Linked DNA regions of Ovis aries. The protein of the gene in region 1 purifies or fractionates together with the protein of each later gene. This does not show direct contact. Links are inferred from orthologs where the notes say so. Each region holds a gene or a part of one and is shown on either strand. Other genes may lie near its edges. The genes, in order: REXO4 and RRS1.

Evidence for each region.
Region 2: the proteins of REXO4 (region 1) and RRS1 purify together in Homo sapiens (co-immunoprecipitation; 3 studies listed by BioGRID and IntAct, with this or other methods). This does not show direct contact. The link is inferred for Ovis aries from reciprocal best matches to the Homo sapiens genes REXO4 and RRS1.

The regions. Positions count from the first base shown.
Region 1 is NC_056056.1:2,638,984-2,643,468, reverse strand, and holds the start of REXO4 (RNA exonuclease 4), read right to left. Parts: upstream 2,911-4,485; 5' UTR 2,865-2,910; coding exon 2,652-2,864; intron 684-2,651; coding exon 349-683; intron 1-348.
Region 2 is NC_056062.1:43,655,003-43,658,780, forward strand, and holds RRS1 (ribosome biogenesis regulatory protein homolog), read left to right. Parts: upstream 1-1,340; 5' UTR 1,341-1,457; coding exon 1,458-2,555; 3' UTR 2,556-2,985; downstream 2,986-3,778. UniProt on the Homo sapiens protein: Involved in ribosomal large subunit assembly. May regulate the localization of the 5S RNP/5S ribonucleoprotein particle to the nucleolus.

The DNA.
Region 1 (4,485 bases):
TCAAGTCTTTCTGGCTTTGGTGTTCGTTCATTCCACAAGTCTTTCCTGGGGGCCCACGAGGTGCCAAGCCCTGTTCAGGGCCCTGGAGATACAGCAGCTATGGGACAGGGTCAGCCTCTGCTCTGCCTACGTTCTAGGGGGACAGACTTACCCCAGGTTAATTCTAAATTAGCTGAATCACCCTGAATTACCCACGAAGAAACCCACAACGCCAGGATAAGGTGACAGAGGGGCCACCAGCCTCGGCCTCCTTAGGGAGAGAGGCCTCGGTGGCTGTGACCGGGGAGGAGGCTGAGGCACAGGGCGGCCGGGAAGGCCGCATCCATCATCACGTCCCGTGGTACTTACTTGGTGGGCAGGGCTGGAGGCAAGGGGGCAGTCGGCTCCTCAGCTTTCCGCTTCTTATGTTTGATGTCGCCTTGCTGCCGAGAAATGTCACCACTGGTCCTTTTCTCGGCCCCTTTCTCCTTGGGCTGCGCCTGTATCTTCCTGCTATTCAGTGATCCCGAGGGCCCAGAGGACCCTGTGACCTCAGGGTCTGTGTTTTCCATCCCCATCGCATCTCTCTTTGCTTTATCTGAGATCGAGTTTCTACTTTGTTGGACATGCTGTGGCTGCTTTTTGGAATCCGTTTGAGAGAGAAGTGGAGGCTCTTGTGGAGTCTGTGATCTTTGTTTCAGCAGCTAATAGAACCCAAAACAAAATACACAACGCACTGTGATTTGGGAATCGCACACCAGAGGTGGGAAAGAAGCGCGTCTGTGTCCAGAAGCCGCCCGCCCCCGCACTGTTGTTTCAGAGTCTCCTCCTCCCGAGCCCACGCGTGGGGGCCACTTCCTCAGCCAGATCCCTTGGTTTGCTCCTGCTGTGAGGGTCTCAGGAAGAGATGGTCACGTCCAGTGACACGGGGTGGACCACCATACCCCTGCTCTCCCCCAGGGAGGGCTGAGGTCTCCCAGCCCAGCGCCCTCGGTTAAGACCCTGCTGTGCGGCAACCAGCTGAGTGAGGAGGCAGTTCCTACCTAGCTGTTCCTGTGATGTTTAAACAACAGGAGAACTGCCTTTCTTGTATGAATTAGAGAAAACGTGAAGTTTCTTCCCACAACAAATATCCATCCCTCTGCTCGCTTCTTTTTGCTTTACTTTCTTGTAAGAAAGAGGCCGAGTTACAGCCCAGGAAGTCTGAGACCCCTGGGGTTGCCCGAGGGAATTTCATGGTCTATGTGTCAGGACAGGAGAATGATCTGGACTCCCCCCTTAAGGCGCAGGTTAACAGTCTCAGAAGCCCTTCTCTGCGCTCCCCCTCACCCACTCTGAGACTCCTGGAGAGATCTCAGGAGCTCAGAAGAGGCTGCGGAGACACCATGAGGGTCGGCAGCAGCAAAGAGCGCGAACTCCCACCCAGCCCTGTGCACCTGCACCCCAGGCGCTCGCTGTGTGACCCTGGGCCATGTCCCTCAACCCCTCCCAGTCTCCTCATCCAGAAAACAGCTGTACAGCAGCAGCCGACTCTGGCGAAGGCGGTTTACGAGTGAAGCTCAGCCGACGACAGCACCCAGGAGATAGTGGCCGGTAGGTAATCTGCAAGTCTTGGTGCACTGATGGCCCAGAAAGGCAAGGAGGTATCGTGGCATTACGAGCAGGGAGTTGATGGGAGGGGGCTTGGGGTCTGACTCCTGGCTCTGCTGACCTGGTTGCAATCTACTTAACCTGTCAGGCCCACTTCCTCATCTGTAAAATGCAGATGATACAAGATCTCAGAGTCGGTCTCAGGTTAAATATGAACACATCAGCTCAGCTCATCCAGCAGTGTCTAAAGCACACGTGAAGCACTCAGTGATCAGTAGCAGTGGTCACCGATTAAAGGCCCAGTGTTGCCAGAATTTCATGGCAAATAGATGGGGAAACAGTGACAGACTTTATTTTTTGGAGCTCCAAAATCACTGCAGATGGTGACTGAAGCCACGAAATTAAGACACTTACTCCTTGGAAGGAAAGCTATGACAAACCTAGACAGCATATTAAACAACAGAGATGTTTCTTTCTGACAAATGTCTATACGGTCAAAGCTATGATTTTTCCAGTAGTCATGTATGGATGTGAGAGTTGGACCATAAAGAAAGCTGGCACCAAAGAATGGATGCTTTTGAACTGTGGTGTTGGAGAAGACTTTTAAGAGTCCCTTGGACTGCAAGGAGATCCAACCACTCCATCCTAAAGGAGATCAGTCCTGGGTGTTTATTGGCAGGACTGACTCTGAGACTGAAGCTCCAATACTTTGACCACCTCATGCGAAGAGCTGACTCACTGGAAAAGACTCTGATGCTGGCAAAGACTGAAGGCGGGAGAAGGGGACGACAGAGGATGAGATGGTTGGATGGCCATCACCGACTCGATGGACAGGAGTTGGTGATGAACAGGGAGGCCCGGTGTGCTGCAGTCCAGGGGGTCGCGAAGAGTCGGACACGACTGAGCGACTGAACTGAACTGAACTGTCAGCAGGGTCCTCTGCATGCAGCCTCTGCTGTTCCGCAGCCCACGCGCTCCGGCCTCTGCGATCGGCTCTGCTCCCCGGGTCCGCTCCAGCCCGCGCGCCCCCCGGGACCCACACACCGTCCCCCTCTCCGCCCGTAGGCCCCCCGCGGACTTGCCTCCTGCAGCGCCTTCCAGTTCGGGGAAAAGTCCTCCGGGGCCTTTGGGGGCCGCACCGCGACCACTCCGGGGTCGTTCCCCGGCGCCCCACCGGCTTCTCGCGCTTTGCTCCTCCAGGCCCTTTTCTTCCGTCTCGGCTTCCTGACGGGCCCAGCGTCAGGCGCGGGGGCACGCGGGGCGCGCGCGGCGGCCGGCCCCCTCGCTTTCACCATGCCGGCCCCGGAGCCCGGCTGCCCGCAGTCCGGGACCCCGGAAGCCGCCCGGCACGCGTCCCCCTCACGTGGGCCCCGGTTTCCGGGAAGTGCTCTCTCTCTCCCCAACCGGGCTAGAAACCGAGCCTTCGCCTCTGGTTCCACACAGCCGGGAGAAGGGCGGGCCTCCTCGACTGCTGAGGAGAAGGGCCGCCGCCCTGGTGAGCGGCGTCCGCGGTTGGAGGCCCCGGGTCGGGTTGGAAGAAGCCCGGGATGTCTCTGAGGGCAGGCCCGGGGCCGAGAAAGGCGAGCGCCGGAAGGGGAGCGAGGGGGACCGCTGTTGGTGTAGCACCGAGGCCGGGCCGGCGGGGAGCGCGGCAGGCGGCCGCCAGGGGGCGCTGGGCGGCCGGACCGGGGAGCAGCGGGCGCGGAGCCGACGCCCGGTCCTGCGGGCCGCTGTCCGCCGGCCGCTGTTCCCACCCCGGCCCGTCTTGCCTACGCGGCGGGGACACTGAGGTCCAGGGCCGGGAGGGGCGACCCCAGGTGGCTCTCCGCAGTCCAGCAGCATCCGATAACAAGGATAAAGCGCTGGGACAAGTGTTGTCTGTTCAGTTCAGTTCAGTCGCTCAGTCATGTCCAACTCTTGCGACCCCGTGGACTGCAGCGCGCCAAGCCTCCCTGTCCATCACCAACTCCCGCAGTTTACTCAAACTCATGTCCGTTGAGTCGGTGACGCCATCCAACCATCCCATCCTCTGTCGTCCCCTTCTCCTCCTGCCTTCGATCTTTCCCAGCATCAGGGTCTCTTCAGCTGAGTCAGCTCTTCGCATCAGGTGGCCAAAGTATTGGAGTTTCAGCTCCAGCATCAGTCCTTTCAATGAACACTCAAGACTGATCTCCTTTAGAATGGACTGGTTGGATCTCCTTGCAGTCCAAGGGACTCTCAAGAGTCTTCTCCAACACCACAGTTCAAAAGCTTCAATTCTTCGGTGCTCAGCTTTCTTTATAGTCCAGCTCTCACATCCATACATGACTACTGGAAAAAACATAGCTTTGACTAGACGGACCTTTGTTGGCAAAGTAATGTCTCTGTTTTTGAGTATGCTGTCTAGGTTGGTCATAACGTTTCTTCCAAGGAGTGAGAGTGTTGTATGTTATGTGACAACAATGATGTTACTCGCACCTCCTGCCTGGCTCTGACAACACCTGGAGGCCAGGCCTGCATTTCCCCAAAGCTCCCATCCCAGCCTCTGTACCTGTGCTGGGGGCCCTTCAGGGAGATTCAGATACCAAATCAGCAATTTTGTATCCTAGCAACTGCCACCAAGATGAGAAGATGAAATGCTGTGTTAGAGACCGAGGAGGGTTAAGGCTGCCAAAGAACCTGCAGGACGCCCAGAGAAACAGGGATTTCAGATAAAGAATAATTTTTACTATAATATGTTCCATATAATAGCTACAACACTGAGGGCATACTCCTTGTTTAGTCGCTAGGTTGCGTCCCAACTCTTGTGACCCCGTAGACGGTAGCCTGCCAGGCTTCTCTTGTCCATGGGCTTTCCCAAGGGAAGAATACTGGAGAGGGTTGCCATTTCTTTCTTCAGAAGATCTTTCCGACCCAGAGATCCAACCACATCTCCCG
Region 2 (3,778 bases), on another chromosome or scaffold:
TAGCCTGCTGGGCTTCTCTGTTCATAGAATTCTGGAGATCACTGAGCAACTAACCCCTTTCATTTCCATTAATCACTAAGATATTTTGTTAAAATAAAAGTTCTGAGTCATAACATCTGGGCTAAGGCCAGAGACTCTGCATTTCTAATAAGCTCCCAGATGCTGCTGTACTGCTGGTCAACAGACCACACTTTTTTGAGTATCAAGAGTCTGGAAGACATTGCAGAGAATATGTATGTAGTTTTAGAGCCAGAGTTTAGACTTCTCCTGCTCCCATACTTCCTGGCTGTATAACCTTAGACAAGTCATTTTACTTCTCTGAGCCTGCTTCTGTCACCAGCGGAATATAGTGAATAACAGTAGCCAACACTTACTGAATGCTTACAATGTACCAGGAACTAATGATTCATATTCATCAACTTATGAATAGGACTTAAGTTAAACAACCTGACCAATGTGGGTACAAGAAACCCAGATCTTATTCTAGGTAGCTTGATTCAAGAACCTGGTGTTTAATCACTGTATAAGACTGCCTTTTCAGCAGAGTTCCCAGAGCCATGATGAGAATTAAACAATTACTGGTATTTAGCTCACATTTATTGAGCACTCATATGCCCAAGACTCCAGTGTAAGCTCCCTTGGGAGCATATTAACTCATTTATCTTCACGGCAGACCTGGGAGGTAATATTTGCAACCCCATCTTACAGGTTTAAGAATAGGCACAAACAAGTTACACAGCCGAAGGTCAAACACCAGAGCGGTCAAGGTCGGAACCCCGGCGGTCTAACAGCTGAGCCCCGCGCTCTTCTGCCATCAGCCAGGAGAGAAGGTGGCCCTGGGCTCCGGAGACCAGACTTGAAGTCGCCAGGATGGGGGCACAGCCGCGCCCCTTCAGGGCGGTCTAACCGCCAGACCCGCTCGCTCCCAAAGAAAACAAAGTCTCCGTCTCCACTTAGCTTTCTGTACATCCCCAGGTGAAGTGCCCACACCCGGGGGCACACCATGAACAGGTGTCAAGGCTCTGGTGAAAATGACTGGCTAAACAACTTGAGAACTGACTTTTACACACACTAAAACTAACAGTCGCTCCCGGGCCCGCTTAGTCCGCGGCCCCCTAACTTGCCCAGCTCGCACAGGACCACCCCCTCCCGCAGGGGCATCCTGGGAGCCAAGGTCCCAATCAGGCCTCGGAATTCGTAGATTCGGCTCCGCCTACCTCCGGGCTCCACCCCAAAGGCTGCCTCTAATCTCATCTGCTCTCTAACACCGCCCTCTGCCGGCCGTTCCTCGGGTAGCCCGCTCCTTGAGCCCCTTCCGGGTGCCCCGGAAGCGGAACTTTCTCTTCCGGGTCGAGCGTCCGGGAAGTCGCACGTGTCTGGGGTGCCGCGGCTTTAACCCTTGTAGGAGGAGTCGTGACTAGAACTGTCTCCCAGAGGTAGCGAGCCGAACCGGAGCCATGGAGGGCCAGAGCGTGGAGGAGCTGCTGGCAAAGGCGGAGCGGGACGAGGCAGAGAAGCTACAGCGCATCACGGTGCAGAAGGAATTGGAGCTGGAGTTCGACCTGGGTAATTTGCTGGCCTCTGACCGGAACCCCCCGACCGGGCTGCGGCACGCGGGACCCACACAGGAGGCCGAGCTGAGGGCCCTGGCGCGGGACAACACGCAGCTGCTCATCAACCAGCTGTGGCAGCTGCCTACCGAGCGCGTGGAGGAGGCGCTGGTGGCACGGCTGCCGGAACCCAGCACTCGTCTGCCGCGCGAGAAGCCGGTGCCCAGGCCGCGGCCTCTTACTCGCTGGCAGCAGTTTGCGCGCCTCAAGGGCATCCGTCCCAAGAAGAAAACCAATCTGGTGTGGGACGAGGTGAGCGGCCAGTGGCGCCGCCGCTGGGGCTACCAGCGAGCCCGCGACGACACCAAGGAGTGGCTGATCGAGGTGCCGGGCAATGCCGACCCCATGGAGGACCAGTTCGCCAAGCGGATTCAGGCTAAGAAGGAACGGGTGGCCAAGAACGAACTGAACCGGCTGCGTAACCTGGCCCGCGCGCACAAGATGCAGCTGCCCAGCGCGGCCGGCATGCACCCTACTGGACACCAGAGTAAGGAGGAGCTGGGCCGCGCCATGCAGGTGGCCAAGGTCTCCACTGCCTCTGTGGGGCGCTTCCAGGAGCGCCTGCCCAAGGAGAAGGCGCCCAGGGGCTCTGGCAAGAAGAGGAAGTTTCAGCCTCTTTTCGGGGACTTTGCGGCCGAGAGAAAGAGCCAGTTGGAGATGCTGCGAGTGATGAACAGCAAAAAGCCTCAGTTGGACATTACGAGGGCCACCAATAAGCAGATGAGAGAGGAGGACCAGGAGGAGGCGGCCAAGCGGAGGAAAATGAGTCAGAAGGGCAAGAGAAAGGGGGCCCGACAGGGTCCCGGGGGTAAGAGGAAGGGGGGCCCGCCCAGCCAAGGAGGGAAGAGGAAAGGGGGTTTGGGAGGCAAGATGAATTCCGGACCTCCCGGCCTGAGTGGCAAGAGAAAAGGGGGGCAACACCAAGGAGGAAAGAGGAGGAAGTAAATTTCATCCTTGGACCTTCTCCTAAACCAAGAACTGTACTTAATGCTAAGTTCTAGATACAGTACCCAGATGCACAAGATTTGGCCACTGCCTTCACTGAGCTTGAGGTTAAAGGGCCAGGTTTACCCTCCTCTGAAGATGATATGTAAATGTTGGACTGGACAAATTAATGTATTTCCCACAACCAAAACTCTGGCTGGAGATTAAAGGTTGTATTTAAGAACATCTGAATTAGGGAAAGAATCTGTGAAAACTAGGAATGAGTTTTACTTTTAAACAGCCTTTTTTTTCCCTCTCTTTAAACTTTGGATGGGGTTTAAGGGAGAGACTTAACAGCTGGTTTCTGCATTATTTTGATGACAAGTTTGTGTATTTATCAAAGCATGTGGGAACAGAAAGGTTACATTTTAAGTAAAACCAATGACCTGGATACCTGGTACAGATTATTTTCATTTACTTTCTAGAAAACATAGCAGTTACATTATGATTTCAGCAAGACCACTTTTATTAGAAAAACTCATCCTGCTTTCGGTGTCAGATATAATACTGAAAGTGTGTCTCTTTCAAAAACAAAATTTGATGCTTTTCAACACTGAAAACATTAATTTGCTGTAAATGATAAATTTGGACTTCACTAAATAATGGTAATAATCCTCAATCTCAGTTTTTTTTTTTTTTTTTTTAATGTTTATTTATTTGGCTGTGCTGGGTCTTAGTTGCAGTATGTGGGATCTAGTTCCCAGACTAGGGATTGAACCCAGGTCCCCTGTATCGGGAGTGTGGAATCCTGGCCACTGGACCACTAGGGAAGTCCTAATCCTAATTTTATACTTAAATCTTTATCAGTATTTATATCCCAGGTGTTTTTTTTTTAAGCTTCAAGTGGGATCTGTTTGGGGAAGAGAGAAAGAAACCTACAAAATCCTTACTTGCAATATTACTACTATCTTTTGATTCATTTGTCAAATTGACCTGCTGCTGCTGCTAAGTCACTTCAGTCCTGTCCGACACTGTGCGACCCCATAGACGGCAGCCCACTAGGCTTCCCAGTCCCTGGGATTCTCCAGGCAAGAACACTGGAGTGGGTTGTCATTTCCTTCTCCAAGGCATGAAAGTGAAAGTGAAGTCACTCAGTCATGTCTAACTCTTAGCAACCCCATGGACTGCAGCCCACCAGGCTCCTGCCTCCATGGGATTTTCCAGGCAAGAGTACTGGAGTAGGG